Medicago truncatula: one gene and its partners. Each later gene encodes a partner of the first gene's protein in a complex. Links are inferred from orthologs where the notes say so. Each region holds a gene or a part of one and is shown in the gene's direction. Other genes may lie near its edges. The genes, in order: kinetochore protein SPC25 homolog, kinetochore protein SPC24 homolog and kinetochore protein NUF2 homolog.

The links.
Region 2: kinetochore protein SPC25 homolog (region 1) and kinetochore protein SPC24 homolog share a complex: the UniProt entries of both Arabidopsis thaliana proteins name them as parts of the NDC80 complex. The link is inferred for Medicago truncatula from reciprocal best matches to the Arabidopsis thaliana genes AT3G48210 and AT3G08880.
Region 3: kinetochore protein SPC25 homolog (region 1) and kinetochore protein NUF2 homolog share a complex: the UniProt entries of both Arabidopsis thaliana proteins name them as parts of the NDC80 complex. The link is inferred for Medicago truncatula from reciprocal best matches to the Arabidopsis thaliana genes AT3G48210 and AT1G61000.

The regions. Positions count from the first base shown.
Region 1 is NC_053045.1:51,668,359-51,679,121, reverse strand, and holds the start of kinetochore protein SPC25 homolog, read left to right. Parts: upstream 1-5,761; 5' UTR 5,762-5,847; coding exon 5,848-5,986; intron 5,987-6,067; coding exon 6,068-6,133; intron 6,134-6,227; coding exon 6,228-6,374; intron 6,375-7,793; coding exon 7,794-7,907; intron 7,908-7,992; coding exon 7,993-8,082; intron 8,083-8,166; coding exon 8,167-8,289; intron 8,290-8,723; coding exon 8,724-8,950; intron 8,951-10,245; coding exon 10,246-10,275; 3' UTR 10,276-10,278; coding exon of another isoform or gene 10,279-10,290; 3' UTR 10,291-10,763. Other genes in the region: uncharacterized protein, read left to right, coding at 1,543-1,741, 1,966-2,429. UniProt on the Arabidopsis thaliana protein: Acts as a component of the essential kinetochore-associated NDC80 complex, which is required for chromosome segregation and spindle checkpoint activity to ensure proper cell division.
Region 2 is NC_053042.1:48,945,578-48,956,607, reverse strand, and holds kinetochore protein SPC24 homolog, read left to right. Parts: upstream 1-6,447; 5' UTR 6,448-6,581; coding exon 6,582-6,771; intron 6,772-9,305; coding exon 9,306-9,447; intron 9,448-9,543; coding exon 9,544-9,645; intron 9,646-10,190; coding exon 10,191-10,264; intron 10,265-10,385; coding exon 10,386-10,492; 3' UTR 10,493-10,737; downstream 10,738-11,030. UniProt on the Arabidopsis thaliana protein: Acts as a component of the essential kinetochore-associated NDC80 complex, which is required for chromosome segregation and spindle checkpoint activity to ensure proper cell division. Required for the maintenance of plant architecture.
Region 3 is NC_053049.1:40,975,665-40,987,133, forward strand, and holds the start of kinetochore protein NUF2 homolog, read left to right. Parts: upstream 1-5,994; 5' UTR 5,995-6,176; coding exon 6,177-6,346; intron 6,347-6,422; coding exon 6,423-6,647; intron 6,648-6,739; coding exon 6,740-6,833; intron 6,834-6,920; coding exon 6,921-7,100; intron 7,101-7,407; coding exon 7,408-7,497; intron 7,498-8,924; coding exon 8,925-9,032; intron 9,033-9,856; coding exon 9,857-9,910; intron 9,911-10,445; coding exon 10,446-10,560; intron 10,561-11,322; coding exon 11,323-11,469. Other genes in the region: basic blue protein, read left to right, coding at 2,488-2,653, 4,831-5,033. UniProt on the Arabidopsis thaliana protein: Acts as a component of the essential kinetochore-associated NDC80 complex, which is required for chromosome segregation and spindle checkpoint activity to ensure proper cell division.

The DNA.
Region 1 (10,763 bases):
TCTTTTTTTACATGGAATCTAACCTTCTAAAGTGATCTTAATACATAATTAAAATAAATATTTATTAAGTTTATTTCTTATTTTAATTTAACTTTTTTTACCACTATTTTTTACTTTTTCTTTTGAAAATTAACCTCAAAACGAAACCCTTTATAAAAGCCATTCATTCTTTAATGGTTTTCCATCTCTTTTGTGTGTTTTATTAAGGTTTCGTCCTTGCTTTCAATTGCCTTGGTTATATGGAATGTTCTTCTCTTGCTTCAAGATTAGTGACATAGTATTAACCTTTTATTCTTTCGGCTGTAAAGTTTAAAGTGGGTTAGTAATATTAATTAAAAAAAATCACGAGACTAAAAGATTGATTGGGGCATATGAAATTGTTTATGCATGGCAAGCATTACATCTTTTCAAGACCAGCAGATTTGAGGGTTGATTGATTCTTACTTAAGCATGAGAACTAATGAAACTTCAAGCAATCGTTCATTCATTATTTAATTTGTTTTTAATAGTGTTTTAATTAAGTTCATTATAGAGACCCGGATATGACAAATTTACTTGCGAGGCTGAGTATGACAAACGCTAGATATATTATTTAATAAACGACTTCATGGGTCAAAAAGGTAAAGACATGGATGAAAGCATATGAAAATGTTTATACATGACCTACGCTACCAATTTTTAATTTGAAGGTTGATTCTTGCTTTAACATGAGAGCTAATGAAGCTTCAAGCAATTGTTCAGTCATTATATATTTGCAATTAATTAAGCCTTAAATTGTGTGCATAGGATATAACTCAGCTAGCAATTGTAATATTAGTTAAGTCACACATTTTCACTCAGATACCTCATAGTTTTGTGTGTGAGTTTTAAATAGTGTTTTCACTTCGACGTTGGAAAAAGAAGCCTAAACCGTTGTACAAACAAGGGGGCGGAGCTTGAAGTTTAAAATGATTGCTGAGTGCGAGTGTGCAATGGCAAACCCAAAGTTTCTTTTGTTGACCAATACCCAAAGTTTATGTCATGAAGAACCATAAGTTCCTTAAAAAAAGAAGTATTTGTAGCATGTATATGTTATGTTTTCTAATCATGCTACAGATTTTATTACTACTGTGAATTAACGGAGTGCAGTTGTGCTTAAGTGCACTGTAATATGTTTTTAACTTTAAAGAATCTCACTGAAAAACTCACACAAAGATAAGTACCGAGAAGTGTATAATTGTATGTACCACGACATATTAAATATCGATGTAGACCTTTTTTTTTTACCTTCTAAGCTATATTTACGAGACAAGTGAGCTTTAACAATCACACTTTGCACGTATTTGAAAAAAACAGTAGTATATAATTGTATGACAAAAGTATAATATGCCCCCAAATTATATCTCACAAGTATCTTCTACCTTACCGTTTCAATAGAGCAGTGTGGCAATTGGGGGCGTATATGAAAATATATAGACTATTATTTTTCTCATTATATGGCCTTCTCGCACGCCCTATGCAAATTACTAAAATGTCCTTCAGATTTTATAATCTGGAACATATATGCATATTCCGAAATATATATTATGGACAACTGCGAAGTATAAAAGGGACTTCACCCCCCAGTTTTACATTTTCACATTCACCATTCACTCTCTCTCTCTACATTATCCCAAAATCCGAACACCGCAAATCTTGTCCAAATTTGGAGTTTTGTTGCTCAAAAGCACCGCATTTCAACCCTTGTCAACCAGCATGGAAGGTAAGTTCGATTTCTGTACACTTGCATGGTTAATTTGGTAGTTTTTTTTTTGGAATTCTGGTCGGGTGCAATCCAGATTTCATTTTCCGGACAGGATTGTTGATGTCTGGAATTTGAAATCCGAACGAACCCATAATGTTTTTTTTTTTTTTTGCTTCTGTTATGTGCAGTTTGATTATGATGTTTGATTGTTATGATTGATTACCCTAATTTGAATGTTACAGAAGGTTCAACATCTAATACTCGGCGCGTAAGGGAGGCAGAGCATGCTTCCCGTAGGAGAGCGTGTAGCCAACGGCATGAAGGTGGTGTTCCTTCGAGGCGTCTGGGTGCTAGAGGACGTCATGCTGATGTAGAGCCTGGTGTCGAGCATCAGCCAGAGTGGCAAGAGTATATGGACTTGCAGCAAGAGCAGCCTGATGTGGGCTTGCAGCACATGGAGGATCAGGAACTTGAGGAGGAGTTGCATGCTATGGACGAGGAAATGGAAGATGTCGAGCCACGACAAAGGCGAAAGAAGAAGGAGAAGGTGGTGGACCCTGAGCCACTAAATGACTATCCTGGTGGCCCACACGAGACTGGCCTGCTCTGGATGGCTGAGATTCAGAGGCCGCATGGTGAGATATCTGCCGGAGAGGGTGCTTCGTCAGTTTGGGTGGGTTCAGACCATACCGGGACATCCCGTTGAGGGTGCAGTTGTTGATGTTAATTTGGCGGAGATCACAAACCGCTTTCTCCGTGCACTTGATTATGCGTTGACACCTAAGCAGTTGGTAGAGCCTGCAGTTCATGGTGTGGAGGCAGAAGATGGATATACCGATTGGTTTTATCGACATTCCCATCCACACATGATTCTTCCAAACATGTCGGTACCGGTGCCGAGGTCATTGGAGCGTGAGATCCTTGATGCGCGAGCTGCTCAGAAGGATGGAGACCTTGCCTACTTACAGCTTAGCGGAAGGATGAGCCGCATTAGAGACCACATCTATGTTGTGATGAGAAGTGGTCTGGTGCCGAAAAGGACTGAGGAATGGTAACATTTGGAGGACGCGTTGAAAGAGGTGAATGACGGGAAAGTTTACCGTCGTCGGGGAGCTACTGATGGTGGCAGGGGTGGTGGCAGAGGTGCTAGGGTGTAGTTATTAGGGATTGATTGTATTTTATTTACTTTTAATGTTTGAATATTTTGGATCACAATGTTATGTAACATTTGGATAATTATGTTTTATTAATGTTTGAAAATTATATTGTGTTGTTAATTTCGATTTTATAACTTGATTTTTTGGTCTGCATATGGTCAAAGGCCAACAACATTGACTAAATCTACTCTAAAACATAGGCTCAGCCAAAACAGATGACTTCTGCCTCTATACTGATGCAGTTTGGATTATATAATCCGGACAGATTTATAACATCCGGATTATATAATCCGGAACCATCGTTCACCACCCACTTTTGTTGACTTTCAACGGGGTGATTTACACTTTTCAGATTATATAATACGAAAATCATATAAATTGTTCGGATTATATAATCCGGATTCATCTATTCATTACTGACATCTTCATCCATCAGGGTGATTAAGTGCCAAAATCCACGAATAAATCCGGAATTAATATTCCGGAAGTAGTTCGGATTATATTTTTCGGACAAAGGGTATTTTGGAAGAAAAAAAATAGGGCGCGTGAGGAAAGGTATAGGGTGGGAAAAGTAATATTGCAGATGCCCAATTATCATAGCCCTTTGTGCGTTTCGACGGGCCTTGCTTTCACATATATTAGGAAGATTGCTCTAGGGGACTCTCAAATTGCTCACGCCCCCTAAAAAACTTCAAAATACCTCCCTTGGATTCTAACTCCCGAACATATTGGACCCGAACTCCCATTCGCTACATTTTGGGAGCTACGTTTGATCCAACTCTATCAGTTATGGATCAATAGTTACAAGGTTTAGTCCTCTTGAGGTTAGCTCAGTTGATAGGGACAATACATAATATATGCAAGGTCATAGGTGACCACCACAAAATAAAAATAGGTATAAGGTTTGAAACTGACCCCTGTAGATGAGACGTTAGAATTCAATTGTTCAATTTTATGTTTTTTTGTAGGATCACTTTTTACAAATTGATTGGATGTTAGGATCTGATCCACTCCTGCGTCAGACTAAAACAATTTTTTACACCGAACCACAACATTTTAGAACATTAAATCACCAAAAATATTTTTTTGCACATCAAACATAAATTTAGATCAAACGTATAAAAAACACAAGTTAAATAATAGTTGATAAAAGATAAAATAATGGGCCATATATAAAACCCAACATGAATGAACATACATACTGATCGATCCTTCTTTAAGAATCGACTGATGAGTCAATAATTAGTAGTTTTAATATAATATTTGATTCTGTTTTATTTAGATTTTAAGTTTATTTATTTAAATATTATTTCCTTTTAGAACTATTTTACTTCAATTGCATATTGTTATATTTCATGAACGAATATTTGATAGATTGAGTCTTGGAGCAAAAGAAAGAGGATTAGAAGCTGATTCAGGGTGCTCTTTTGCTGCTTTTGCTTCGGAAACAAGCTACCTATTTTGATCTAAAAGCCCGTGGTTTCTTGTGGAACATTCTAGTGAATAGTTGCTTAGGTTTTAAGTCGACATAAGGCTATAACTAGAGTAGCTAGCTATCACAACAATTCATCTTTTGTTATCTGAAATAATAAGTGACAATTGTTTCTTTGAATAAAAGTTCACCTTTATTTTATGTTCTTCTTCTTCTTCTTCTTTTCTATGTCTACAATGAACGTGAGTGAGTAGACTCTTCTTGTCTTGGGATTGTTGGGTAAGTCTAAATGACATAACCCTAATCAAACCAAGCATTGAGCCCTAATTTTATATAAATCTACTTTCTAATCTAAATTCACCGTTTTAACATGTATTAACAATTACCAAACTGTAGAAGCGAAAGTGGAGGGTTAGTAATTGTTAATTTATCATCTCAAATATTAATTCATAAAGCAAAAGTGGAGTTTTGATATTGGAACAAATGAATTTAGACAAGGATTGCGAAACATGAAAATAGTCTAGCAAACCTTGAGACATATAAAGTTTCGAACTTCAATGATTCTAATAGCAACCAACCATGAAAATATGCGTGGTTGCTAGAGGACCACACTCACAAAGTTTGCTTGTGAAGGGTTTCAAGGGTTCAAAGAGAAACTTGTCTTTAGAAAGTAAATCCAATATAAAATTATGGTTTAGGGTTTGTTTGTGAAGGACTTGTTATTTAGATGAACCAATAATCACAATGCGCTTTTATTTTTATTATTTTATTTTAATTAAAAATCCAAACTTGCAAACTAAAACTCTTTTCTAATCATTGTTGAAAGTTAAGTAAATTCATAACTCCCTATCAAAACGATACTTTTTATTACTACATCGATAAACCGTGCACTTACAGTTTTATCCCATCATCGACCAATAATGACTTACAGTATCATAGTCATTTTTATCCGTGAGAGTTGTATGAACTAGTAATAGACACGATATGCAACTCAGGACACAATGTGATTCTCACTGACTAAACGAAATAGGCCTCAAATTAGACTCTTTTATAGAAAAACAAAATTACAACAAGTCGTGTAATTATGATGAACTAGATATTATAATAGTCATTATTTAAAGGGTTAATTAAGTTTTTAGTCCCTGTAAAATAAAATCACACTTTTTAGTCCCTGTGACATTTTCCTTAAGCATTTTAGGGACTAAAAATGCTAATGGAAAATTTTTATAGGGACTAAAAATGCTTATGAAAAATTTTATAAGGACTAAAAATGTTGATGGAAAATTTTATAAGGATTAAAAAATGTGATTTTATTTTATGGGGATTAAAAACAAAATTCTAAATATTTATAGGGACTAAAAACTTAATTAATCCTTATTTAAATGAATTGGAGATGTAATTTATGTTTTTGAATGACCAAAGTACACTTTCATTTACATAGTTTAACTGAGAAACTGGCCCACCACAACAACGTTCGAGCTTTTTTTTCTAACTCATGAAATTCAAAAACACTGGATACGAGTGAGTCCAGAAAGATGGAGTGTTCAACTTCTTCAACCCATCGCGACTCAGAAATCACTCAACAAATCCACACCATCGACGCCTTTGCCGCTTCCGTCTCCAAATCCTTCCAATCCATTAAAACCACCGGACAACAAACCGCGAAAACTCAAGGTCTTTAGGGTTTCATCTTTCAATTTTCACTTTCACTCTTTTCCTCATATTAGGGTTTTCATTTTTACTTTTCCTTCTCAGTTCAATTAGAAGAGGTTAAAGACAAATTGAAGGAAGTGGAAGATGAATTGGTTAAAGTACTCGCAGGTTGGTTTGTATAAGTATTAGGGTTTTCAATTTTAAGCTTATTTGTTTTAAGTAAGGGAAAATTTGTGAACTTTTTTTGTTTTTGTTTTTTCAGAAAAGACGCGTAAAGAGGCTAAGCGAATGGCTTTGTTAGATGCTATTGCTTCTGCTAAGGCTAGAGTTGGAAATCTCAACTCAAGTATTCAAGAGGTTCGAACGAGGAAACAAGAATATATCTCGTTTCTATCGCAGCAATCACTCGGTAATTAACCTCTTTTTCCTGCAAATGCTGCAATTTGTAGCTATTTAAGTATTTTATGTTTTTACAGATTCAAACCCTGTTTGGTGAAGGAATTTAACATTGACTTAGTGCCCGTTTGGATTGGCTTATTTTTGAGCTTATGAAAAACAACTTATACAAATAAATAAGCTTTTATGTCTTATTCATAAGCTTGTCAATGTAGTTTATGAAAAAACAGCTCTTATGAAGATACAATTTTCATTAGTGGGAACTTTGAGAAAATACAATTTTCACTAGTGGGAACTTATGAATTAACATAAAAACTTATTTATTTGCATAAGCTATTTTTAATGAGATAAAAAATAAGCTAATCCATGGTTGTCGACATCATGATTGGACATGGTTGTAACTTGTTCCCTATTCAAGTCTACATTTTTATTTGTTTATAGGACATATATTTGATGTTTGCTCAATCTATTTGATATTGTGCACACAATGTATGTTAAACATAAAGTAGCCAAATGCCATCTTGCATAAGTATCGAGATTACATGTACTATGAGGTTGTCATGTCTAGACGCTAACATTTTTTTTTAGTAGCTACTTCAACATGTAAATCTTTGTTTTTCTTCTGGAAGCATAGAACTAGTAAGACATGGATTATCATGCAACCTGTAAAATCATTTTTGAAGATTTTAAGTTCGCCTGTTATAAAATAAGATTTGAAGGATGTTTTTCTAACAATGGGTTTGTCATAACTCATACGTTCTTCATTAATTGCTTTTACAGAACATGTATTTATAAGTTTGAACTGTCGTGGTCGTAGTTCTTAAGCTTGTAACTATGTTGTGGTCGTTTTGGGGTTTCTGTTTGCTGGGTGGTTATTGGTTTACTACATCTCTGGTGCCGGGTCTTGAACCAAGTTTCTTGAGGTTGAAGAGAGAATCTCAACCAAGTGACTTCTCGGGAGACAGGCATTGGTTTACTACATCTGTTTAAGCACCGTCAGTCTTTTTAAATTTTTTAGGGTTTTTTTTAAAGTTGTAATGAAGTAATGGGATATCGTTGGTCCCTTTTGTGTATCAAAGTGGTAGAATTAATGAATTTGGGCTTCAAAAAAGCTTGTCTTGTACAAAATCGGGAGATTTTATGTTTGACCGATATCATGATGCCCACTTCCATTATTTTTGAATGTATGAACTGTTTACAAATACTGAACACATTTTCTCAAGAAAAAAAGTATGAATGTTAGCTGTTGCACAGATGTTATGCATTCTAAGTTTTGATTGAGGAACTATGTTTTTGCGTTTCTTCTCTATTATATATTCTATTTGATTTGTTCTACTTACTAAACTTGAAATTACTTCGTTAAAAGAAATGTTATGTACTTTTATAAGATATCCTCTCACCTCCCTCGTCTTCTCTTTTAATCCATATGAAGCTTTGGCAGCATCTGAAGGGAGGTTGAATGAAGGCATTGAACATACAGACGAAACACATGAGGCCATCTCTTGGTATAACAGGGTACTTGGTTTTCATGTCAAAGGGGGACGTGGTAATTGACAATTAACTTTTTTTGCATAAGGTTTCTTTTTATTCTTCTTCACAAAGTTGATATCCTTATTAGTTATGCTCTTCAGGGGTAAAGTTCACGTTCAAGAATATAAATTTGAAGAATCCAAATGAGGAGTACTCTTTTACTGTCTTCCATGATAAAAATACTTATACATGTAAGCAGCCTGCATTTATGATTTTATACAATATTCAGTGTATATACACTTCATGAAACCTACACCATCTCTTTTATCTTTCAGTGTTACGTTGTGAACCTTCCTTCGATGGTATTGAAGAGCTGGTCCATGAATTAAACAAGACAGATGGTCTGTTTAAGTTTGTCAGAGTAATGAGGAAAAAATTTCAAGAAGCATTGGTACAAGGTATCAATGTTTGTTTCTATCTTTTAAATGAGTGCATGCATGTGATGTGGGAGCTCTGCATATTGGAGACTGAAAAGACCGCTTGAATTGTAAAATGATAATAATTCCAAATATGCAGAGCTCCAATACGAAGTGATTCTATTAATAATAATAGTAATTCCAAATACTTCATATTATAATGATGTTTATTCATTATTTGAAGAAAATTTATTGAATGAATGTTTTACCAGTTCATATGTCTTATTGAACTGTTCAAACATGGTTCTAGTTGATTTGATATTCTTCTCATTAGCTTATTATTATATGAATATAAGTATAATTGTTCTTAATATATTTTCTTCACATGTCTAATTAAATAGTATCTTCGCTTGTTGGAAATTGGATGAAAGGGTTGCTTGTAATGAATGTAACTTTATCTAATTGCTATTAAACAGGGAGCTTAGTTCTAACAACAGTCAATCCTGGAGAATCTGCCTTTATATCTTCATCCGCTCCTGGCACATCTGTTAGAAGTGATTCTACAACCATGGAAAATGAGCATGAAGTGGAACGCTCTGGCAGTAGTGCACAATTAAAGAAAAAACAAGTTCGCAGAAGGAAAAGTTTGGCACGTTTATCTCCTGATTCTGCTTCATCTGTTCGCCAGTCTCCACGTTTGAAGGTATGAATTACTATATGTTGTATTTCTTGAATTTTTTTGTTTAACCACCCAGGTAGACGTTTATGATCACCACTCTGGAATGTTGATACTTTTCAGTTGCAGTGTTGTCTATTGTACTTTGACAAGCACTGTTTTTTGAAGAAGGTGTGTTTTAGGAAGAATAGAATAAATTGGTAAATGGGGCAGGGAAGTTATAACCAAATAGAAAACTTAATAATGTATTAACTGTAGTTAGCTGAAGCATATAATGTATATTAGAGAATAAAGAAGGGTTATGGAATTCCCTAGCTTGTATTCTTGTTGTCAGCAATTGATACAGTCAGCTGCTATCTGATTCTGGCATGTCATTTGGACTTGCTAATGCACCTTTTACCTTCCAAGAGTTGATGGGCGAATTGTGAAGGCTGTAATAGAGGGCCAAAAGAACACGTTGAGCACCTGAAGGTTTTTCGATTGTTCCAATGTAATATCTGGGGGTAAAGATGTAAACTTGCTGAAGAAGCTGTAGTGTCTTTGGCCAAATTGCGTCACAAAAAGGGGTTGCTGTAGGCAGACCTGTAAAAGCTGAATCAATAAATTAGTGGCCTGCCCCAAATACGTGAAGGTCATAAAAAGGTTTTGGGGGTTGATAGGATACTACAGAAAATTTCTGAAGAACTACGGGTTAGTTGCCAAATCGCTTACTGAATTGCTTGAGATAACCTCTAATGATCTAAACAAATGGAACATGTTGTCCAAGCATTAAAGCTATAACTTAACTGTCTGTCCTAGGCTCTTTGTAGTCCCAGATTTGGTCATGGCTTTTATTGTTGAAACTGATGTTTCGAGAAATGCTTGGGAGCTGTGCTGCTGCAATAGGGACATCCTCTAGCTTTCCTTAGCTAACAACTATCAGGGAGGAAATCAGTTTATGATAGAGAGCTAATGACTATAGTGCAGGACTGCTCACTGTGTCAGCAGTCAGTGTGTAAATGGAGGCATTATCTAATGGGGAGGCACCTTTATTATCCGAAATAATGCTCTTTTGAATTTTGTATTTATTGATGTTGGATTAAAATAATTTTGAGTGGCGAAAAATAAAAATGCTAAAAGAACGGTAACTAGGCTCTGACCTACTCAGCTGCACTTAACCTGGGGTTCCTTTTCTAGGTTTTATGACTCATTCTCGAGTCCTGGCCTCCTGGGGTGCTTTAGGCGTGCAGGGTTATTATTGCACGTGTTCTTTCATCAATAAATTTGTAAATAGTTATGATGGCATGTTTTCTACGTGATTTATTTATATGATTCTTGCACAGAACTCGGCTAAACTGATGTATCATATGTGACAGACTAGGAGATAAAATACAAAGGATGTTTGCCACCTCATTTGATGCTACGTGCTGAGCTCCCGAGGTTCTCTTGCAGGCATAACTCATTACTCAGGTTGCTAAGTGTTTGCTAACAAATTCACACATTCCAGACATATCTATGTTCTGGTTGCTAAGCTATTTTTGAAACTATGATGTCAATGTAGTTCTGGTTGTGTGTTATGTCTTGTTTTATTTGTATAGTTCTTTTAATTTTTCCCAAAATCATGTAACCGTCAGTCATTAGGGTGTTGATATAGTTTATTGACAATGTATTTGAAATGGTTTTCCATGATTTTTTATTATTTGTTTCCCTCCTCTTGTGTCCAAAAATTTCACCTTTGGATGAATCTTATGATAGGGAAAAACTACGGTTTTGTCTGGTTCCACCCATTTGAAGGAGGAAAACATGTTTTTAATATTGTGCTAAACTGCTATGTGAAATCTGAAGAAACAAAATAATTAAA
Region 2 (11,030 bases), on another chromosome or scaffold:
TTAAAATGAGGTCGTGATAAGCTGTTTTGTATAAATAAGCTGTTTTTGAAAAAGAGATCGTATTAAGCTGTTTTGCATAAATAAGTTGTTTTGAATAAGCCGTTTTTGAAAATGAGGTCGTAATAAGCTGTTTTGTATAAATAAGTTGTTTTGAATAAGCTGTTTTTGAAAATGAGGTCGTACTAAGCTGTTTTATATAAATAAGTTGTTTTGAATAAGCTGTTTTTGAAAATGAGGTCGTAGTAAGCTGTTTTGTATAAATAAGTTGTTTTGAATAAGCGGTTTTTGAAAATGAGGTCGTAATAAACTGTTTTATATAAATAAGTTGTTTTGAATAAGTTGTTTTTAAAAAAGATTGTAATAATTTTAGTAATGTCTAAAATTGGAATTTTGAATTATTAAGAGGGCAAAATAATTGGACAAATGAAGCCCTTGAAATAATTTTAGTAATGTCTGAAATTGGAATTTTGAATAAGTTGTTTTTAAAAAAGATTGTAATAATTTTAGTAATGTCTAAAATTGGAATTTTGAATTATTAAGAGAGCAAAATCGTCAATTTGTATGTTTAACCCCCAAAACTCTCAATTTGGGGGAACTTTAAAATTGGACAACTGAAGCCCTTGAAACCCCCCAAAAAAAAAACCTTTCACTTGTTTTTTTAAAACTCGCAAACAAGATTTACCACTCCATAAGCCTTTCATTCCATTCCCATCCCCTCCAAAATCCAACTCGCAAACAAAGCCTTACAGGGATGGTTAGTGTAAGAGCCAATATTTCAAGCAATGAGGATCCGGTCAAGTTGCTAACGAATATGCAAAATGAATAGAAGGAATGAATTGATGATAAAAAAAAAAAAAAAAGATTAGTAATTGTTATGATTAAGAGTAGTTACTAACTGTTGTTTGAGATGTTTGTTGGGGTTGAAGGAAAAACCTCTTTATGCATGTGGTACCAAGGCATGAGCCCCCAACAATCATAGTATTAATATACTATTAAGGCATCGTGGTGAGGACAAAGCTCAATTCGTGGTGAGGACAAAGCTCCAGGGCATGAGCCCCCAACAAGTATGCTAGTGCATGGACTCAATCAATCTAAAACAATCTTAATCAACATCTCAATATGCATCCAATAATTTGGAGTTCAACAACATCTATTCATCTTATAATGACTCATGCAACTTAGTTAAATAACGACAGCAGCATAATCAGATCACAACAGCATTATAATTCCATAACAACAATTTCATTTTCAACAACTTCAAGGTTATTCAAGAATAAATCAAGCAATGCATTTAATCATTAAATCACATTACAAACAGCTTAACAATTCATAACAGCTTCACAGATCTCAGTTAACATCTTAAATAGGCCACATTACTACCTAAAGTTCCATTCCTAATCAATTCAATCAACTCAGGTCACGACAATCTCAAAAGCACTCAGTTCTGAAAGTGCTCGCGAGGCGAGAGCATCTGCTCGCCATGGCGAGTACAGGCCAGGTTTCCAACTACGGTTGTTCCAGGTTCAATCTTGTTCTAAATCATCCTCTAATCTTTAGTAGACATCTAAAGGTACTCAAAAGCATCTAAAGTTCAACTCAAAAGTCCAAAATACGAAAATCAACATGCTCTCTGGTCATGCTCGCTATGGCGAGTAAGGTTGCTCGCTGTGGCGAGCTACGACATGTAACTCGCGAGGCGAGGGGAAAAGGCTCGCGTGGCGAGCGATGAACTTCATCACCCGCGAGGCGAGGACCATCGTTCGCTAGGGCGAGCGATGAATGTTGGCTCGGGCAGAATGCAGTTTTCTTCAAAAATTCATCTAATCTCTTGGTTCTAAGCCCTATTTCAGTTCCAGAATTCATTCTAAGCATAATCTAAGGTCAAGGGACGTTTTCTACAACAATCTAACAGTTAAACATCATCGGATGATCAAATTCTCCTATTAACCCTAATTTCAAAACTTTTATAATTCAATCCTAACTTTGTTAATTGATCATCAGAATCATAAGAATCAATATTATTGAATCATTAGTCTCACCCTTACCTTGTTTTGCAGAAATCGCAACTTTCCCCTAGGTGATTCTCTCTTCTCTTGGCTTTTCCTCCTTTTCTCCAAAAACAGTCGTACGTACTAATTTTTCTAAGACTAGGTCTTTCCTTTTTATATCTCTTCCTAATATCTTATCTTATCTCACTTTCTCCTCAAAAACTCTCTAAAATCTCAAAACAGCCCTCAACTAAATATTTTATTTTATTTTCAAATCTTATTTTATTTAACAATAAAATAAGTCTCATAATCTCATCAAATCATCAAAACACATCCAAATCATCCAAATCATCTAAACCGTCATAAATCAACAAAATTCACACATATATTATATAAATATAATATAACTCGTTTAAACTCGATTAAATAATTAATTAAACAAAAGTGGACGTTACACTACCGAACTTCACATGAAAGTTCACAGAGACGTTTGCAGTCATTAATAATTGCACTAAAATCAGAAACACCATGCTTAATACCTCGTTAAACAACACAGCTTATATTCATTATTGAATGACAATTATTTAAAATCTTCTTGAGCAGGAGATATATATATTTTTCTTACATTTGTTTAATTTTCTTGGAGAAACTTGTTTTTTATACTCATAGAGAAACTTGTAATTGAAATTTGCAAGCATATATCTACATTATTAAAATGAGAGTTAAGAGTGTAAACGGTTCCGACAAAATTGATGAAATTGAAAAATCAAATCAAATTGATATGTTGAAAACCAAACTGAATTGATTCTAATTTGATCGGTTTGAACATTTTTTAAACTGAAATCCAAACCAGGAATCATTAGACTCCGATGAGAGTCCTATTGAGAGAGTTAAAGATCCTTTCTATTTAATAGATACTATCATTTCAAGAGAGATAAATCTATTGAATATAATCATATTATTCAATTAATATTGTTGTATTTGTCCATGTGAACTTGACTTAGTTGATATAAACATTACATTCTATATTTATAGGTCGAGTTCGAACATCAGACACAACATCTGTAACGCCCCAATTTTATTTAATTATTATTGGTTGATTTAAAGTCTTTTTATATATGATTTTATATAATTATGTTGATTATGTGGTGTGTCATATTTTATTAAATGAATTATTTTACTATTTAATAGAATAAGTGGGAATTTAGAATATTTGGAGTTCAAGGGGCTGATTTAGAAATAAGGAGAGTTGTGTGGGATTAAGTGGAAATAGAGGAAGTTGAATTAGGTTTAGAAAAGAAAAGGGAGAAGTTAGAAAGAGGAGAGAAACTGTTTTCACGTACATCAGTTTTGGGAGAAAACAAGAGAAAGCAAGAGAACCAAGGGAGAGCCAGGTGAAGAAAATCAGAATTGTAGAGCTTTGTTCATCTGAATTAAGGTAAGGGTGAGGCTAACTTGCAATGATTTTAGTTTATATAATTCTGATTCTGTTTGACAAAAGTTATGAATGAATTTGGAGGATTGAGAATTAGGGTTAAGGAGAGAATTGATGATTAAATGATGGAATTAGGGTGAATTGATGTAGAAATGATGAACAGACCTTAGATGTTTCATATATTGATGTTTAGAATCAGTTTTAAGGTTAGAACAATGGGTTTGGGTGAATTTTTGAGAAAAACTGTAATCTGCCCGTACTGTTATTCATCGCTCGCCTCCCGAGAGATGATCCTCGCCGTAGCGAGTGATGAAGATCATCGCTCGCCTCGCGAGCAGGAGTTGTTCGCCTCGCGAGTTGCATTTCGCAGCTCGCCATAGCGAGCAAGTTTACTCGCCGTAGCGAGTGTGACCAGAGAGCTTGCAAGATCTCGTGATTTTGAGCTGTGAGTTTAACCTTAGATGTTTATGAGGGCCTGAACATGTACCTTAATGATTAGGCAAAGTTTTAGATTGAGTTTGAACTCAGAATAGAGTCAGAATGGAATCTAGAGTGTTTTACCCTAACTCGCCGTGGCGAGTAGAGGCTCTCGCCTCGCGAGCTAGTGCTTGACAGATTGCTTTGTTTAGGATTTTCATGTGGCTTTGTCGCATGAGAGGTTGTGAGCTGAACTTTGAGATAGCAATGAAAGATGTATAGGATATAAATGATGAACTGTGAAGCTGGTTATGGCAAATTGAGGTTATTAATGTGATAAAATTGTATAAGTAATACTTGGTTTATGTGATAATGCTAGACATCGTTGGATTGTATAAAATATTATCATATCATGCTGACGTATACTGTTGTGTTGCTGTTGATTGATTATGATTGTTAATGATCGCTGGTTTATACTTAACTGCATTCAATTAGAATGTACAATGTGTTGGTTCGAGTTGTAAGTGGCGAGTTGTCGTTTCCAAGTAACGGAGTCATAGGTTGTTGATGTTGACCAAGTTGGGGAGTGAGTGAGTTATTATGCACGATCGTTGTCGTTGCCTATGTTGTTGCTGTCGTAGTTGAGTTGTATGCTGATATACACAAGTCGAGTCCTTTCATGATTAGGAAACCGTTGAGGGCTCATGCCCTGGAATGCTCGTCATTCAACCGTTGAGGGCTTATGCCCTGGAATGCCTTGCCATTCAAATTGTTGAGGGCTCATGCCCTGGAATGTTAATCATTCAACCGTTGAGGGCTTATGCCCTGGAATTGCCTTGTCATTCAATCTGTTGAGGGCTCATGCCCTGGAATGTTCATCATTCAAATTGTGGGGGGCTTATGCCCCGGAATGCTTAGTCATTCAATGTGTTGAAAATAGTACCACGCCGTTGTTGTCGTTGAAGTAGTGGATGATGTTGTCGTTGATGGTGATATTGTGGTTGTTGTAGGTTGTGTTGTGGTCGTTGTTGTTGATGGAGATATTGTTGTTGTGGTCGAGTTGTTGTTGTCGTTGTTGGTTGATTTAGTAAGAGTTATTAAAGTTGAAGAAGTATAAATATTATTGTGGGAATATATGTTGCTTATTACGTTATTTAATTAAGTTGATGATTTATATATCTATTATTATTGTTTGTGAATCTCACCCCTTCTGCTTGGAATTGTTGCCTTTCGTATGGGTAACTTGCAGGTATTGAAGCTTATTAGAAGTGGTGGCTCAAAGTGTCTAGGGCTCTGATACGTACGGGATGGGATTTTCTTATTGTTTTTCATTCCTATGTATCAATTTTGAATATTGCTGACGTAGCCCTATGGTTGTTGAATTTATGTTGATAAGGCTTTTATGCCAAAGATTTAATTATGGAGATTTAAACTGTTGCTGTTGTTGTTTTGATGCAAATTTTCCGCTGCAAATTTAATGATGACTTTGAAGGACGTTTATTAAATAGATTTTATATTCTACTTAAAAAATTTTGAAAATGAAGTGTGACATGCCCGTTTGGGAATTACTCTGATGCATGTTTTATTAATTAATTGATTTTTGGGAAACGGGGTGTTACAACATCCTATTTATTTATTTTAAAAAGGTGAATTTTAACTATTAGATTATTTGACAATAAAAATTATTGTATTCAATGGTCCATTTCTCTTCAATTAACGATGTTCTTTAAATGAAGAGGATTCCAACTCCTATCGAAAGGGGTTATATAACTTTTTTAAAAATCTAATCTTAATACTAACTATTTCCTCCATCTGATGAAGAGAGGAAAATAATTTTGAGTGTCTTGTCAAGTATTTATGCATTCTTCATTATCATAAATGCAAAGTAGAATATATTGAATTGAGATTGATGAAAATAATTTTAATTAAAGTTATAATTAAAAAATAATAATTAACATTGTATTAAAAAAAATAAAATGGATCAATTATTTTAGGCTAAATTGCATTTTTGGTCCCTTAACTATTTAGGTAGTATCACTTTGGTCCCTTAATTAAAATTCGATTTATTTTGGTCCCTTAACTCTCTCTGTTACACATTTTGGTCATTTACGTTAGTTTTAATTAAAAAACGTTAGAGTTTTTTCATTTTCTTCTCCTGTTTTTCATCTTCATATCATTTCCATCAACCTTCAACAACAAAAATCCAGGAAAAATTCCAAAAAAAAATGAAGAAACACTAACGTTTTTGAATTAAAAGTAACGGAAAAGACCAAAAGGTATAACAGAGAGAAAGTTAAAGGACCAAAATAAATCGAATCTTAATTAAAGGACCAAAGCAATACTACCTAAATAGTTAACTGACCAAAAATGCAATTTATACTTCTTTTTTTTTCAATCGTTGAGACCGAGGGAATATTCATTTAAGAGTAGTGATATTTGTACATCCAATAGATGACAACTTTGGTGACAATCTATCAAAAACAATGGAGAGAGACAAAGAAATAGAGAGAATAAAAATATACGTGACTATTAGAGAGAAAGTTATTTAAAAGTTGTCACAATGAGCGTAGAATGTCATTTCTCTTGGTTTAATCAAAAGAAAGTGTTTCCCTCCGACTCAAAGGAAAAAAAAAAAAAAAGAACCCCAATTTTGAAACCTTGTTTACTTTCATCAACTCCAATTTCGTTTCTTCTTCCAATTTCGAACGAAAGAAAAACCACCTTCTTCTTCTTCCACATAAATGGCTTCTGATTCTTCTAGAAACTTCGACGTGGATCAGCTTATTTCCATAAGCAACGACCTCATTGAGGTTTTGCAAGATCCCGCTAATGACCGTGATCTCAACATCATCTCTCAATGTCTCCACCACACACTCTCCGTTTCTTCCTCCTGCCACTCCGACCTCAATGAGGTTCTCTCCTCGTTCCAAGGTCAATTTACTCTTTTGCCTTTTTCTATCTCTTCCGTTTCTACCACAAAATAATTACGGGGTTTGGGTTGTTTTGTTAAAGTTTTCATTTTTATGATTTTTTTTTTATTGGGTTTTCGATTTTTGGTGTTGCCCATCATTATTTATTTGCTGTTTGTTCTTTTGGTGTTTTACTTTGCTAATTTTAAGTTTGGTATGAATATTAATAGTTGAAATTCACAAACAATGATAGTCAGAAAAAATTGGGATTTAGGTTTAAGTTTTCATGTTTCTTACACTTACTGTGGCTGTGATTATTTGCTATGTTATGTTTATTTGGCAATTGGGATTGTTATATGGAGAACTATTGGATTGGATCTCTTAGTACTAGTGTGTAATTTATTTATTTATTTGAGGTGTTGCATGTGCAATTAAGGTGTTTGTTAACAGTTTCAAAACTTGAAGAGTATAACTATGTAAAAATGGAGTGGAAGTTTGCAATATGGTTTTTCAATATTTGCATTCTCTTTCTCTATCATTGTCTTAGATGTGGTATCAGTTACATAGTTAAGTCATAATAATGGAAAATAAGAAATGCTGTTCGATTTGATACAAAGTTCACTTGTAATTCAACTGGAAGTAGTTTGTGTGAGTGTCTGGTATGACAATGGAACTGTTTCGTTCTAAAGCAATGCTTTAAAATACGGAAATAGCGGCACTATAGTTCTATAGCGCCGTACGTAGATTTTGATGATAAGTAGAAAAATTCATTGGGTCGTTAGTTGGGACAGAGTGTGTTGAGAGAGATATGGGGAGAGTGGGTTGGGTATACAGAATTTGAGAGGTTTTAATTTAGAACTTCTTGTAAAATGGGTGTGGAGACTCAAAGTGGAAAGACAACTTTTGTGCACAAAGGCGATAATGGCTAAATATGGAAGCCAAGATGGAGTGCGTGTGGTTGGTAATGAATCCAGTTGGTGGCGAGACAGCAAAGCGATGGAAAAGGGAATATGGGAATCTCAAAATAATTGCTGTTTGGATAGAATGAGAAAGTTAGTGAGAAGTGGCAGCTATACAATATTTTGGTTGGACAAATGGATAGTAGATGGCACCTTTCAAGATAGATGTTGGAGATTGTATAGCATAGCAAACAACAACGAGGCTAAGGTGAATGGAGTTTGTAATTTTGTCTAAGAAACACGGGAATGGAAATGCAGCTGGAAAAAGAGGTTGTTTCAAAGGGAAGAGAAATTGATTGACGATGTTGAGTGAGCAGGGGGTCAATGGCGATGTGGAAAAGCAGAAATAAAATGGTTTTTGGGAGAAAATCATTTGAGTTGGACGAGATGTTGGAATCGGTAAAGATCTCATTGTGGAATTGGTTGAAGGTCCAAATTCTAGGAATTGAGTAGCCAATATCTCAATAGTTCTCAGCCTTTAATATGTTTGGGGAGTCGTATATAACTATGATAAAGTTTATGAATGAGGTGGTATGGTTTAACAGGAGACGGTTGTATCGTGGGTCTGGAGGAATGGGATGCAGTGCTTTCAAAATACAAGTTTGATCTGGTGGCAGAAAGTAGATCATAGGAAGTGGGTGGCATTTAAGTGGATGAGATTAATTCACCATAATTAATAGATTGGAGGTGGTGGTGCACATCCAGCTGCACTGTTTATGCAGAAGTTTCTGGTCAGCACAACAGGACGCAGACCGTGGAAGCCTGTAGAATTCTACATGATGGGCTTGTCAATATGGAGAAGTGTTTGTGCTAATTGAGTGTGTGTTTTTTTTTTTGAAGTTATCTTGCAAGAATCAGATGGTTATTAGAGTTTACCTTGGCATTGTGTTCTGGTATGGTTTTATTATGAGGACTATGTTATTTTGTAGAAGGGTGGCAGTGTTCAGAACCCCCCCAGCTGTTGAGCTCTGCCTCCATTCCCTTTCTATATGTCCTGCTCCATCTCTAATGAGTTTTCAGTGATTCTCCTGTTAGTCTCCTACTATGATGATGCCCTTAATTGGAAAGTTGTATATAAGGATGGCCAAAACCAAAAATCAATAAGAACTAGAAGAAATTGATTTTGAGGATTCTAAAGTAGAAGTTGAAAGATGCGATTCACTATTTGACAACAAGAATGATGATTATATTGGAAAAGGGGACCAGAATGAATAGATCTTTTGTCTTTTATGTTCAATCATTATTTACTGCTTTGAGTAATCACTAGTCAGAATTATGAACAATTGAGCTTTTTGAGTTAATTTTGTCACTTTATACAGTTGATTTTTATCTGTATTCAGCTTATTTTTATTTGTATATAGCATGCTTTTTAGTTACATAATTGATTTATTCCAACCGATATGTGGCTTCCGCTATCCGGTATTCCACATAGCGGAATTTTTCTTTCTTGCTATTTTCCGTGATGCACTATTAATAGCCACCCATCTAAAGTAATTCCTTTTAGCTCAACTAGCTCATATCAATGCTATCTATTATGCGTAGATATTCTTGATTGTATAATTGTATTATGTGCTTGACCAATGCTTAGTTGAATCAGATTATCAGAAAAAAATAGATTCGCACAAACAGAAAATTGAGCATGCTAGATCCGAGACTGCTGCTGATGCGGATCTGGAGCTTTTGCAGAGAGAACTGGATGAAGAACTTGAAAAAGAAAGCCTGTTGAAAGAGGAGTTTAGATAAGTCTATTAGTTTTCTGCTTTTCAATTGTATGCTCTTTTTAGATTTTAATCTTCTTGAAATGATGTATCTTATCATCCATTTTGTATCAGCACAGTCATTAGCAACGAGTTTGATGATCTAGAACAACAACAAATTTCTGTCCGAGAGCAGAAAAAGAAATTACTGAAAATTGAGCAAGAAAAGCAGAGGACAAGGTATGTGCATTGCAAAACTTGAATTTAAGACCCTGTTTACTTTCTAAAAACATTTTCAGCTTTCATTTTCCAAAATTTATGTTCATTTTAAATTGCTAACAAAGAGATTGAAGACTCATGTAGCGAACAATTGTAATAGAGAGAAGATGGAAGACAAATCTATAAATAATATATTTCCGGAAACAATGAAAACAATGTTTTGGCTTTTTCAAAATTTCTGAAAAATGTCAGATCTGTTTACAGAAATTGTAGAAGAAAATGGTGAGGAAAATATTGGATATATATTCTCTTATGTTTATTGATTGAATTGAAAATGAAAACAAGAAACATGAGAAGTAACAGGCTCTAAGATTGTAATCTGGCCTCATATATGTATTGCTATTTGTTATTCATGTCCGCTTCGATATTATGGTCTCAATTACATGAATGTGGCTTCTCAATGTTAACAGTAAAGTCAATTAATTGTCCCAAACTGAAGACAGTTCTTGGTTTTTACATTTCCCATATAAATTGGAACTTATATTTATTATTATATTTTGTTTCAGGATGCTACTTTCGATGTATGCTTCTGTCACAAATATTGTTCCAAACTTGGACGATCAGTCAAAAATTTCAGGCTGTATCCTTTTGTTGAGTGTACCATTCTCTTTTCCCCATGTTTCTTCTTCAGGTTTTCTGTAAATGATTTTTTTGTCCTTTGAAAAGACAAGAATTGTTTGCTCCTTAAACTTAAATTGCAGATATTGTTGAAAAGGAAAAAAATGCGGCGGAGAAATTTGAATACGACACATCACAGCTGACTGTCCTTGATGTATGTAATGACATCTGGAAAACAATAAGTGATTAATGCATGTCAAACATGTCTCTGTTGGATCATGTTTGTAACATTATGTAATTTCTCAAATTGAGTGCTATGTTAGGAATCCAACAATTCACTTGATGACTGAAAAGTTCAATGTATCATGAAATGAAAGCCTTACAATTTTAATAGAGTTGCTGACCACTAAGTTTCATTGGTGAGTATTTTCATGTCATGTCATGAAGTAAATACTAGTTTGAATCTTCACATGGTTGGCCACTTGTTGTTATATAGTCTAATGTGCAGTATACTGAGCATATGAAACTGAAAGATAAACCGATAACGCATATCTAATTTATTTTGCTCATATTCTTGCTTCATCAAACAATGACCTTGGAAGAGATCTACATATTTGTACCGGAAGAATAATGTAAGTGTAGATAGCTTGTGTCAAAGGAAATGCTGAAATCAGTCCATGTGAATGATTTCTTTGTACCTTCTTAATATCCTCATCTGAGCAATTTTGCTATTCTGCCAATTTGGCTTCCTGTTGTTCTTCTTTCCTTTCTTCATCAAGGCAATAAAA
Region 3 (11,469 bases), on another chromosome or scaffold:
AAAACTCTAAATTGTTAGTATAAAGATATCTCTTAGGCATGGCAATAGGGCCGGGTGTGTACGAATTTCACCTTCCCTGTTCCCAATCTCAACTCTCGTATATTTATCCATTACCTTACTCATAGTCAATGAGATAAGAAATTGAATCTCATTCACGTTTTGAGAGGTTCGTGTTTCCATGTCATGTCCCTGTATTGAATGTTTTTTTTTTATATAAACAAAAGTTTTTTTCTAGCCCCAATGGTAGTGTTGTATACGTTATCCAGCAATATGCTTTACTTTTATAAATCGGATAACAATGACATATCAACCCTCTAAAAAAATGACATATCAACATATACCCAAAATATCAATTTTTTACGTGACAAATTTGGGTATGGGTTCGGGGTGGTTACCTATATCCTGCTACCCGTTCCATACATATGTCTTGAAATCGAGGAAAACTCAAATTCATACTCATACCTAATCAAAGCAAGAAATGGGTTTGGATGGTTAACTATGGACACGCGCGAGTTTTGCTCTCATGTCTAATATCTCTTATAAGCATCAAGTGGCTTACACTTATTGATCATAAAAATTCATAATTATTTAATTTTAAATAATCTTTGAAGTGTATTTAATTTTAAATATATACTTAAATTTATGCATAAAAATTATAACATACACCATCATTCTTCCCCTAAACCTTTTAACTTCATTGTCATATTTTTTATTTTAATTATTTTTTGAACAAGCCAAAATTGAATTATATAACCAAACAAAAAGTAGATTATAAGCACAAGGTGTGCCTAGAAAACTACTGCAGTACAATAGAGTAAGTCAGTAATGGAAGGTGGGCATACAAGTGTTTAGCCAATGCCCAAACAAGCAAAAGGGCTTGACCATCACGCGTGCCAAAAACAAACATTACATTTTTGGCTTTAAGCCACCCTAGAGACAACAATTTAACCTTGTCTAACAGACGGGGGACTACAGTTACAACATTATTGAACAACCGGTTGTATCGTTCGTTCCGTACAACCCAAGTACACAGAAGCCAAATTAGCTGCAGGAATGAACGTTTAACTTTACCAGGACCTGTCATCAATGTAAATTGCAACAAATGATCGGAAATATTATTAGAATCGACCCCCACAAAACCAATCCATTCACGCATATGCTGCCGTAACGATGCAAAAGTTGTGCAATTAAGAAATAAGTGTTCGGCTGTTTCAACGTGGCCACATCCTGAAACACAATAAGACGCTGATGTTGGTATAACCCCGCGAATTGCTAAATTATCTTTGGTTGGTAAATGATCATGAATGAGCCGCCAAAGAAACACCGACACCTTCAAAGGAACGAACCTGATGATGCCAAACCAACTTCAAATTAAAATATTGCTTACATTGGCAGCAAAATGCATTGCTTTCTTAAATATTGCTTGCATTAGCAAGAAAAAAAATATATTTTTTTTTAAGGAAAAACTTAGGTACAATTCCTTAAGTTATTATTATTATGGTTTTTAACTAAGTTCACTGTGATTTTAGCAAATCTATAATTTTTTTAGAGTTTGTTATATTAAAAAAAATATATTGTATTTTTAGTTAAGAACCATTTGAAAAAGCATATAAAGAATTGTATGTAAATTTTGTCATTTTTTTAAATGGAAAAAAAGCAAGATATTGATCAAAATTAGACAACGCATCTTCATCCATAAGATCGAGGTTCATCATCTACCTCATCATCATACTCAACTTCTCCTTCATGATTATTATCCTCGTATTTTATTTTGCTTATACCTTTTTAAATTTATGAAACCATTGTGAACGAGCAAAATGTCCAAAAACTCTTGTAGTAGAGTCACACTTGCTTGTTCATAAACCTAACTAAAACTCATTTAGACACGCATAAATAAATATGTGTTTAAATAATTTTTATGAGATTGTGATCATATAAGTATTTTTTTACAGAAAAAAATAGTAAAATGAGAAATACTATATAACAATATAAGTCCAGGTCAACCATGACATCACCATCTATTAATGTACTTTCTTGTAGGACATTTCAAAGAAAAATTATGCCATGGGAGGTTGACATATGCTGTTAGTTGAGTTCCATCTTAGGAAATGGGTTAGCACTCAGGCATACGTGCGAAGCTGGTGCCATGAAACCAAATTTAAAGTCAAATGTACTATCGACAATTTAGAACTGGTGGAGTTTAACTTGAACCACTATCATAATACTAGTATTATCATAAATTGATAGTACCTTAATTATCAATTACAACTTGTGCTAAAAATCATACATCTCAAGAATCATTACGGATTGAATATTTTGGGCAGACCCACGTCTATGGTATCTACTATCTAACCAACTTCCCATAAGATTTCTTGCAGACCTCTTCACTCATTCCTCAATTATAAAACCTTACCACATTATTCCAAATTTTCTTACATCCAAATCCCTTTCTTTCACAGCTTTCTAGCAAGTACTAGTAGAGAAAACATGGCTCTGGGAAGAGGCAGTGTGGTGGTTCTACTAGTCTGCTTTTTTGTTCTTAACTCTGAGCTTGTTCATGCTGCTACCTACAATGTTGGAGGTACTGTAGGTTGGACCTTTAACACGGTTGGGTGGTCTCGAGGAAAACGATTTAGGGCTGGTGACACACTTGGTATGTATCTTCCAATCACTAGAGAATTATTAAATTTTACTCTAATACAATCGTGACCATAAATCTATAATAATTATTTGTCAAACTTTACTTACATTTCAATCAAATTTAAAATGATCAAAGTCCCTTTCTCCTAAGAACTGAAAACGTACAAAAAAAAAATACAAAGATGCTATTTTGTCCTAATACTATTCGACATGAGGGCCATATTGGTGACCCCCCCCCCCCCAACACATCTCCTTGTTTTTTCTAGGGAAGTCTTTACTCTCTCTGCCTTGATTAAAAAAAGTCATATATATATATATATATATATATATATATATATATATATATATATGGGGTTTTCTAGGACACACCTACTAGTTTTTATTAAGGTGTGTTTTAGTAAAGATATAACTAAAAAGTTGTTAAATACACATCTTAAGGTGAATGTTGCTAAAACACACCTTCTAAAATATAAGTGGGTGTATGTTAGCAACTCCTATACGCATTTGCTAGGATACACCCACTTATTTTTTAGAAGGTGTGTTTTAGCAAGTTATAACTAAAAGGCTTAAATATGTAAAAGGTCCCTGTAATTTAGCGTGTTTTTGGTTTTAGTCCCTGTAAGTTTTTTTTCTTCTAAAACAACCCTTGTAATTTCGAAACCTTTTGGAAATCATCCTTGCCGTCAGATTCCGTTAACAAAAAAGCATTGGTGGATAACGGAGGTACACGTGGCAGTTTCTGGGTTGGCAAAAGTTGCTAACGAAATGTTCATAAGGACGAAAACCAAAAACGCAAATGTTCATAGGGATGAAATTGAAAAAAACGTAAATGTCAAAATTTCAAATTTAAAAACAATATATTCTTCTTCTTCTTCATCCTTATTTTTTCTCTTCTACATCTCCTTTTCCTGCCAATTTCTTTATCTCCCTAGAAAAAATTCACCCCCTCGTGGCAATGTCTTCTCGTTCCATTGCTAATACATCATCTCCAAAATCATAAGGATGTTCATCTCCAATTTAAATGAAAACCCTAAAAGGAGATATTGAAAATGTCCAACCTTTACGGTGAGTTCGTTGTTATAATACTATGTTTGTTGTATAATTTTAACAAAGTTTAATTTAATTAAAAGCTTAATATGTTTAATTTATTGTTTAGGCTGCCTCATTGGTGGGTAATTGAGTCTATGCAGAGGCAGTATCCCCAATGTTATGTGATTGAGTTTGTGTAGAGGTTTGTACGGAGGCAGTTGCCACATTGTTGTTTGACTGTCACATAGCAGAAAAGCTATGGAAAACACAATTCTATAATATAGTAATTAAACTTAATAATAAGATAATTTGTAATAAAGTTATATACATAAATAAAACTGCTTCAAAAGATGCAGAATCACTTAATTGTTTTAAGTATAGTAATTGGGTGTGTTTGTCAAAACTGAATTCACATTTGGTTGAGATTGAGTAGCCTCAAAAGCTGTTGCAAGGGAAGGGAGATTCACAATTGGAATGAGAAGACATTGCCACGAGGGGATGAGTTTTTTCTAGGGAGATAAAGAAATTGGAAGGGAAGGGAGATGAACAAGAGAAAAAAGAGGGATGATGAAGAAGATCATCTTGTTTTTAAATTTGAAATTTTGATATTTACATTTTTTCAATTTCGTCCCTATGAACATTTGCGTTTTTGGTTTTCGTCCCTATGAACATTTCGTCAGCAACTTTTGCCAACTCAGAAACTGCCACGTGTGTCTCTGTTACCCAACAATGCTTTTTTGTTGACGGAACCTGACGTCAGGGATGATTTCCAAAAGGTTTCGAAATTACAAGGGTTGTTTTAGAAAAAAAAAACTTACAGAGACTAAAAACAAAAACACGCTAAATTACAGGGACCTTTTACATATTTAAGCCTAACTAAAAAGTAGTTAAATACACCTTAAGATGTAGCTTGCTAAAACACTCCCACATAAAAACTAGTGGGTGTGTTTTAGCAAATCCATATATATATATGGCACTATCCATATTTCAATGCTTCCTCTTAATATTATGGTTAATAACATTATTCTTTTCTTTTATGTCAAGCATCTTAATATTATTCTAATAAAAAAAATATAACACAGAAGATATTTTTTTATACGACTCTTTTAATAATTATCCAATTTCTTGAGTGTAAATATAATTTTTCATATGTTTGTGCAGTGTTCAACTATAGGCAAGGGACTCACAATGTGGTGGCAGTAACCAAAGAAGTGTATGATAAGTGCAGTACTCCAAGAAGGGGATCTAAAGTGTATCGGTCAGGGAAGGATCGGGTCAGGCTTGCTAAGGGACAAAACTACTTCATGTGCAATTTTCCAGGTCACTGCGGTTCTGGTGTGAAAATTGCCATCAATGCTGCTTGATTTTTATACTAGAGTTTAAGTATCAATAATGTATTCAACTTTTATATGCGTGCCTTGCAAATTTCATACCAGTTGCTCTTTTCATATTAGTTGAATCATGCAGAAGCTGTTTCCTTAAATTAAGTATCAGTTTTTCCTACGGTTCTGTTTGTTTGAATCAAGGTGACTGATCTTGTCTCAAGAGAATAAGTTTGTTTGGGCCTTGTGATGTGTTGTTTTGGGTGGCTCCATGAAAGTAGTATTATGGGGAAGTAAGTTCTGTTTTGGTGATTAATTTTAATTTATTCAGAGTTTTTGTACTTTTGTTAGATAAATTACATTTGTTATGCTTTGCTTGTAATGTTACATCCTTACACGTTCATTTGGGTGCAATCATTATGATATCAATATCTGTCTTTTCATATAATAATAATAATAATAATAGTAATAATAATTTGGGTGTAGCTGTTATGATATTAATATATGAATATTAAGGGTAAAAAAAGAACGGATTAAGTCGGGTTTATGTGATCTGAATATGGTATTCACATTAGATCGAACCAATTTTTAAATTTAAATATGTCTACGAATTCGATCAAATTTGATGAGATTTGGGTTCAACAAGTACATGACAATACGAAAACATAATCGGGTTTGTCCGAAGATAAATTGCATGAGATTTGCGATGATATGAGAATGAGTTAGAGAAGTGACGATATGAGATTGGACTAGAGGAACGATGAGCGGTGACGTGTGAAATGAAGTCAATGTTAGAAATTCAAAATAGAAAATGAGTATTGTAGAAATAAAAAAGTTTTGTGTGAGAGACCTAGCTTGAGAGTGTGTAAAATAAAATTAAAAAAAATCTTTACATTATAGAATTATCCAGAATTTCATTTATTTATTTTTTGGTTCAATCTCAATTTGTACAATTGAACAAAAATCAATGAAGGAGCAATAAGTCTGTCTATTCACCAGTAATTTTGATTTTTGTATAGATTTGATCCGTACAGACGCGCACTGCTCGTGTATCACTCTACTAAATACTAAAAAACTTTGGGCGGGACTCAAAATTTTCAATTTTCAATTTTCAATTTTCAATTTTGAATCACACACACGGTCACTTTAACAATCTCTGCGTCTGAGTAGCGGTTGAAGAAGAACATGGCGATGTCGAACTACGAATACCCAAGGCTTCGCCGGCCAGAAATAGTTCAACTCCTAAACAACTTTCAAATTGCTACCGTTACAGAGAACGACATCTCCAACCCCAGAACCGGCGTCGTTTTGGATCTCTACACTCGCATCCTCAACTACCTCGATTTTCTCCACGAGTAACTATCCCTTTCCCTTCTCTTCAATCTTCGCTTCACGCGCTTCATTTTTATTCTCTTTTTGAATTTCTCACAGCGAAGACAACGGACAGCTTGATTTCGATGCACTAGAGCATCTCGAGAATCCCGACCTTCACGTTGGATCTATTCATGCTATCAAGCTTTACAACAAGATCAAGGAAATGCTTAACTTACTTGAATGTCCTAAGAAATACACATTTAACTTTGCCGATCTTCTCAAACCCGATCCTCATCGAACCGAGTTTTTCCTTGGAGCTCTTCTCAATTTCTGTCTCGACAGGTTCGTTCGTTACTCTCACTTCTTCAACCATTTCTGCTAAATCATCAAGGAAAAATAAAACATAACCTAATTGTTAAATTTTTTAAAATCAGGGATGGGAGATTGAATGCGATATCAGAAATCGTAGACGAATTCAACGCGTTGGAACAGAAGATAGTTGAGATTGAAGAGAATAATATTACACAGGTTTATAATATTGAATGATTTTTATTTTTATTTTTTTGTGTGTGTTGGTATTGGTGTTTTATTTGATAGATTTTCATTCTGTTATAGTTGAAATTGGCGATTGCTGAATGCAATGAAGCGAGGGAAAGGGAATTGCCTTCTGTTCAGGAGGTGGATGCAAAAGTTAAAGAGTTGCGTCAAACTATTGCGAACCTGAACAATAAACAGATGTCATTGAGAAGTACAATAAAGAAGTTGAAGGAGAAGACTGTGGAAATGGATGATAAGGTATGCTTTAACCGATAGTGAAAGTTTAGCATAATGAGTTGCATAGTCTTACTTCTTGATGTTGGGTTTTTTGAGTAGTATATGGAATACATTTCAGTAAAGGCATAGATGTTTATGTGAATAATTAATGGTGGATTAGGACATTTAACCCTGTCAGTTATGTAACTTGAACATATATTGCAGACTGCAGCTTAATCTGATCAGTTTATAATATATATTAATTCCTGTGTTGGTACTTGGTGATAAATTATTTTACTTGATGACAATTCTTACTTCTAACTCGATTTTCCTTTTGTTATTACCTCAGATTTCTGATGCTGAATATAAACTGGTACAAAATGTTCAAGAGCATGGAAATCTACTTTCAAAAATTGCTCAATCGCCTGATAAAGTACAGGTATCATTTTCATGTTGGCTATTAGTCTATTCTGTTCACAAAATCTAACTTATTACAATCTTAGCTTTGAAATGTAATGGACATTGCATTTTTCCACCCCATCTTCCTGTGTGAATATTGTAAATGTGTTTTATAGGACTGCCCTTACCTCTGTGTGGTTACCACAGTGGAAAACTCTCGCGACTCACAACCTTCTCTTGGGTAGTGACCGGTGCACATGCTAACATTAACTTAATACATATTTAGCCTGGTAAGCTTGCTGTAACATAACACCTGCGCTTAGCAAAACAAGGAGCTACTGACAATATCAGCAACAGAGAAAAAATCATCCAACATAATTTATGTCCTTCATATTCCATAATTTTATTGTATCAAAAAATTGTGACTACACAAGTAGCATCTCAAAATGCATAATTGTTTACACAACCCAACATAAAAGAATAACTCATAGTTGCATTACACCAAAGTCACAACATAATGGCTGCTTGATAGGTCTGTTATTGTTAGTTAAGTAGTTATTTAAGAGGTTAGTTAATTGGTTAATGGGTAGTTAGTAGCTGAGTTGAGACTTGAGAGGTAGTTAGGCCAAATAAGACATGCTGCCTATAAATAGAGAGGAGGATTAGAGATGGAATCATCTTGCCATTTGAGAGGAATAGGGCCTTTTAGCATAGGCAGGCAGACCCTCAATGTGCTGCCATTGTTTGTAATCAAAGGGATTCCCATTTTCAGTAATAACTAATAATATACCCGTATCTTCTATCAATTGGTATAAAGCTCTTTGTGGGCTCGGTGGGTGGACATCATGATGAATCTTCCACCGTGGTTCTGTTTTTAATGCTTCCTACCAAATTGTCATTGATTCATTTTGTGTGTGGGTGCTTCCGGTGGTAATTGCTGTAGGAGATTTGAGGTGAAATTGTAAGAAATTGGTAGTAGTAGGAAATAGGTAGGCAGACCCAAGGGAGAAGGACAGAGATATGGAAATGTAGAAATAGACTCTTTTATACGTTTTTCCAAAAACTATCTTCATTGGTTCATAGTTCATATGTTAAAAAATGGTATTTGACGTAAAACAGGTCACTGTTAGTGTTATTCTGGTATTTGACAGTGTTATTAGCATGTTTCATGAATTCAGCCTTTGGGTATTTGCTTGAAATAATTGCTCTTTTCCTTTAAATCAGTCTGTTGAAGATGTTTGTAAGTGTGATAATTTAATTGAAAAGAAAACAAATTGTAGGAACTAAATTGAAAGTAAGAGGAGACTAGAGGCACTAACATTTATTTTAACCATGAATTTATTATCACTGTTCGGGTGAACAAACACTGCATGCTTATTTTAAGATGTTCTTGCTGTGTAGAGTAATCTCTGATTTTATCTTTCTGCCTCTACCTATTTAAATTTGCTTCCCTTATCTTGCATGAAGAGAGCTCTAGAGGAAAAGAAATTAGCTCGAGAGGAGGCAAGAAATGCTGAAAGATTAGCCATGCACAATTTCCATGAGAAGACTGCCCTTGTTGAAGTTATTTCCAAGGTATGTTGTCATAGGACGGTATTCCCTCCATACAATACTATGGTGTTTTTAGAATCTTTATTTTGTATCAAAACCATGGGTGTTTTAAATATCCACAAGCTATGATTTGTCTGTATACCATGTTGAATTTTCCCTGGTAAAGAGCATTGAAGAATAAGCTGCAACATAATAGGGCTAGTGGGATCACTTAATCTGCTTTTTAGAATTTTCCTTACAGATGTTGTCGTTCAGTTTCAACATTATTCATATTTCTTTTTGGCAACAACATTATTCATATTGGTTAAACAAATCTATGCACTAACCTTGTAGCCATTTACTCATTCTAGAAAGGAAACTTAGGCTTTGTTTGGGAGTTTGGAGGGGAGGGGAGGGTTTTGGAAAAAAGGAAGGAGCAAGTGGAAGAAATAGAAGACATTGGGAGGAGAGGGCTTTGGAGGTTAATTTTTTACTCGTAATAAAAAATCCCCCTCATTTGGGGGAACTCAAAAATTGTATTGGGGGAGGGTTTTGGGGGGTTATGGAGGGTTTATATGAATTTTTCAAATCCAATCTATGTTGTCATAATATTCTTAAAATTAAAAGTATATTAATCATAAGTATTAGTTTATCATTCTCTGAAAAACCGTTCTTTCAAAAAATGTGATTTTTTTTTGTCCATTTTTCTATATATTTCCAACCTCCCAAAGCCCTCCCCTCCCTTCCCCTCCAAACTCCCAAACAAAGCCTTAAAAAAAGTAAACTGCATCTCATGGGTTTATGACTTCTATTCACAATGTAATGTTTTGTCCTAGATAATACAGATCACTTTATCCATTACTTGTCAGGTACACAAAAAAATGTCAAAGCACTACAAGCAGGTGCAGGTTACACAAGAGCAGGTATTCCTTGTCCTATGGCTATTTGACTCATGCTCTGTCATTTAGCATGACGATTGAAATTTTGTTATGAATTTGTCCCTGTATATGGAGGAAGGAAAAGCTTTTTCTTTTGTTATTTTGGATTTGAATGAAGCTCATGATGGTGGTGGTGTCTTGGAGATATGTTGTAAATAATGTATATTTGTAATTGTTAGTAATAATTGTATTTCACCATTAATCAGGCCCATTAGGTTTAGAAGAGTCTATTTAAACTAATTAATGGTTGTTCTCTATTAACAACTTTGAAATATATCAAATACATTTTCTACAAGACCGATATGAAACGTTCTATTATGATCTGCGGGCTTTTTCTTCCTTCAAAGATATTTAAACTAATTAATGGTTGTTCTCTATTAACAACTTTGAAATATATCAAATACATTTTCTACAAGACCGATATGAAACGTTCTATTATGATCTGCGGGCTTTTTCTTCCTTCAAAGATAGTTATTATTGTGCAAAACCTCTTGTTTGATTTCTTTAGCACTTCCTTTAGGTCAATTCTGCTAAAACTATTGAAAAGGATCTTAAAACATTAAAGGCAAAACTTGGTGACGAAGAAGTACTGGAGAAGTCACTTGAGGCCAAGTTGGTCGAAAAGCAAACTAAAGGTACGTTCTTGTGCAAGCAAGTAATGCTGGTGCCCCATTTCCAAATGGCCAGCATATCTGTGTAAGCATGAGTTATGATATTTTTTGTGATTGTTTTTTTAAAAACTGTTGACAAATTACCTGGCATTGTGGCATGTTTTTTTTATCAAACTATTATTATTATGATGATGACTCTTAGAAAGTGTGGTTGGGCCTAACACAACCCCACCAAACTGGCTTGTAATGTGAGAATTGCCCCCACTTTTGAACACATTGTCAGACCATCTCTTATCTGACGTGGGACTCTTTAACAATGACGATCATCATCATCTTGTCTTAGGGCCTGTATGGATTGAGCTTATGCAAATAAATAAGCTTTTATGCTAATTCATAAGATCTTACTAACGAAAATTGTATATTCACAAGTTGTTTTTTCATAAACTACCTTAACAAATTTATAAATAAATAATACATTAATACTTCTTTATTTGCATAAACTGCTTTGCATAAGCTCTAAAATAAGCCAATCCAAATGGGCCCTAAGTGAATCCATTGACCGACTGAAGTGGCACATATGCCACTACGCAATGTTATCTTTCAAAATTTAAAAGTTTTCAATTTCCAATGCAATGATTACACAAACTTTTATAAAAAGTTACTATTTAAAGTCCTTAGCTAGTGCCCCCGGGGCACTAGTTAACATTTCCCAAAAACTTTAATGCTGTATAGCATTGCTCTTTATACATGTATATTATATGTGTTTGTTGTGTTTTCCCTCATCAGTTGAACATACGGAAGGGTTGAATAAGCAGTCAGAGAAAGAATGTGGTTTCATGATGGATGAAGGAACTAAATACCTAAGCAGTATAAAATCAGAGGCGGAATCAAAGAGACGTGACATTGAAACAAGACAGAGAAATGTTGAGGCTA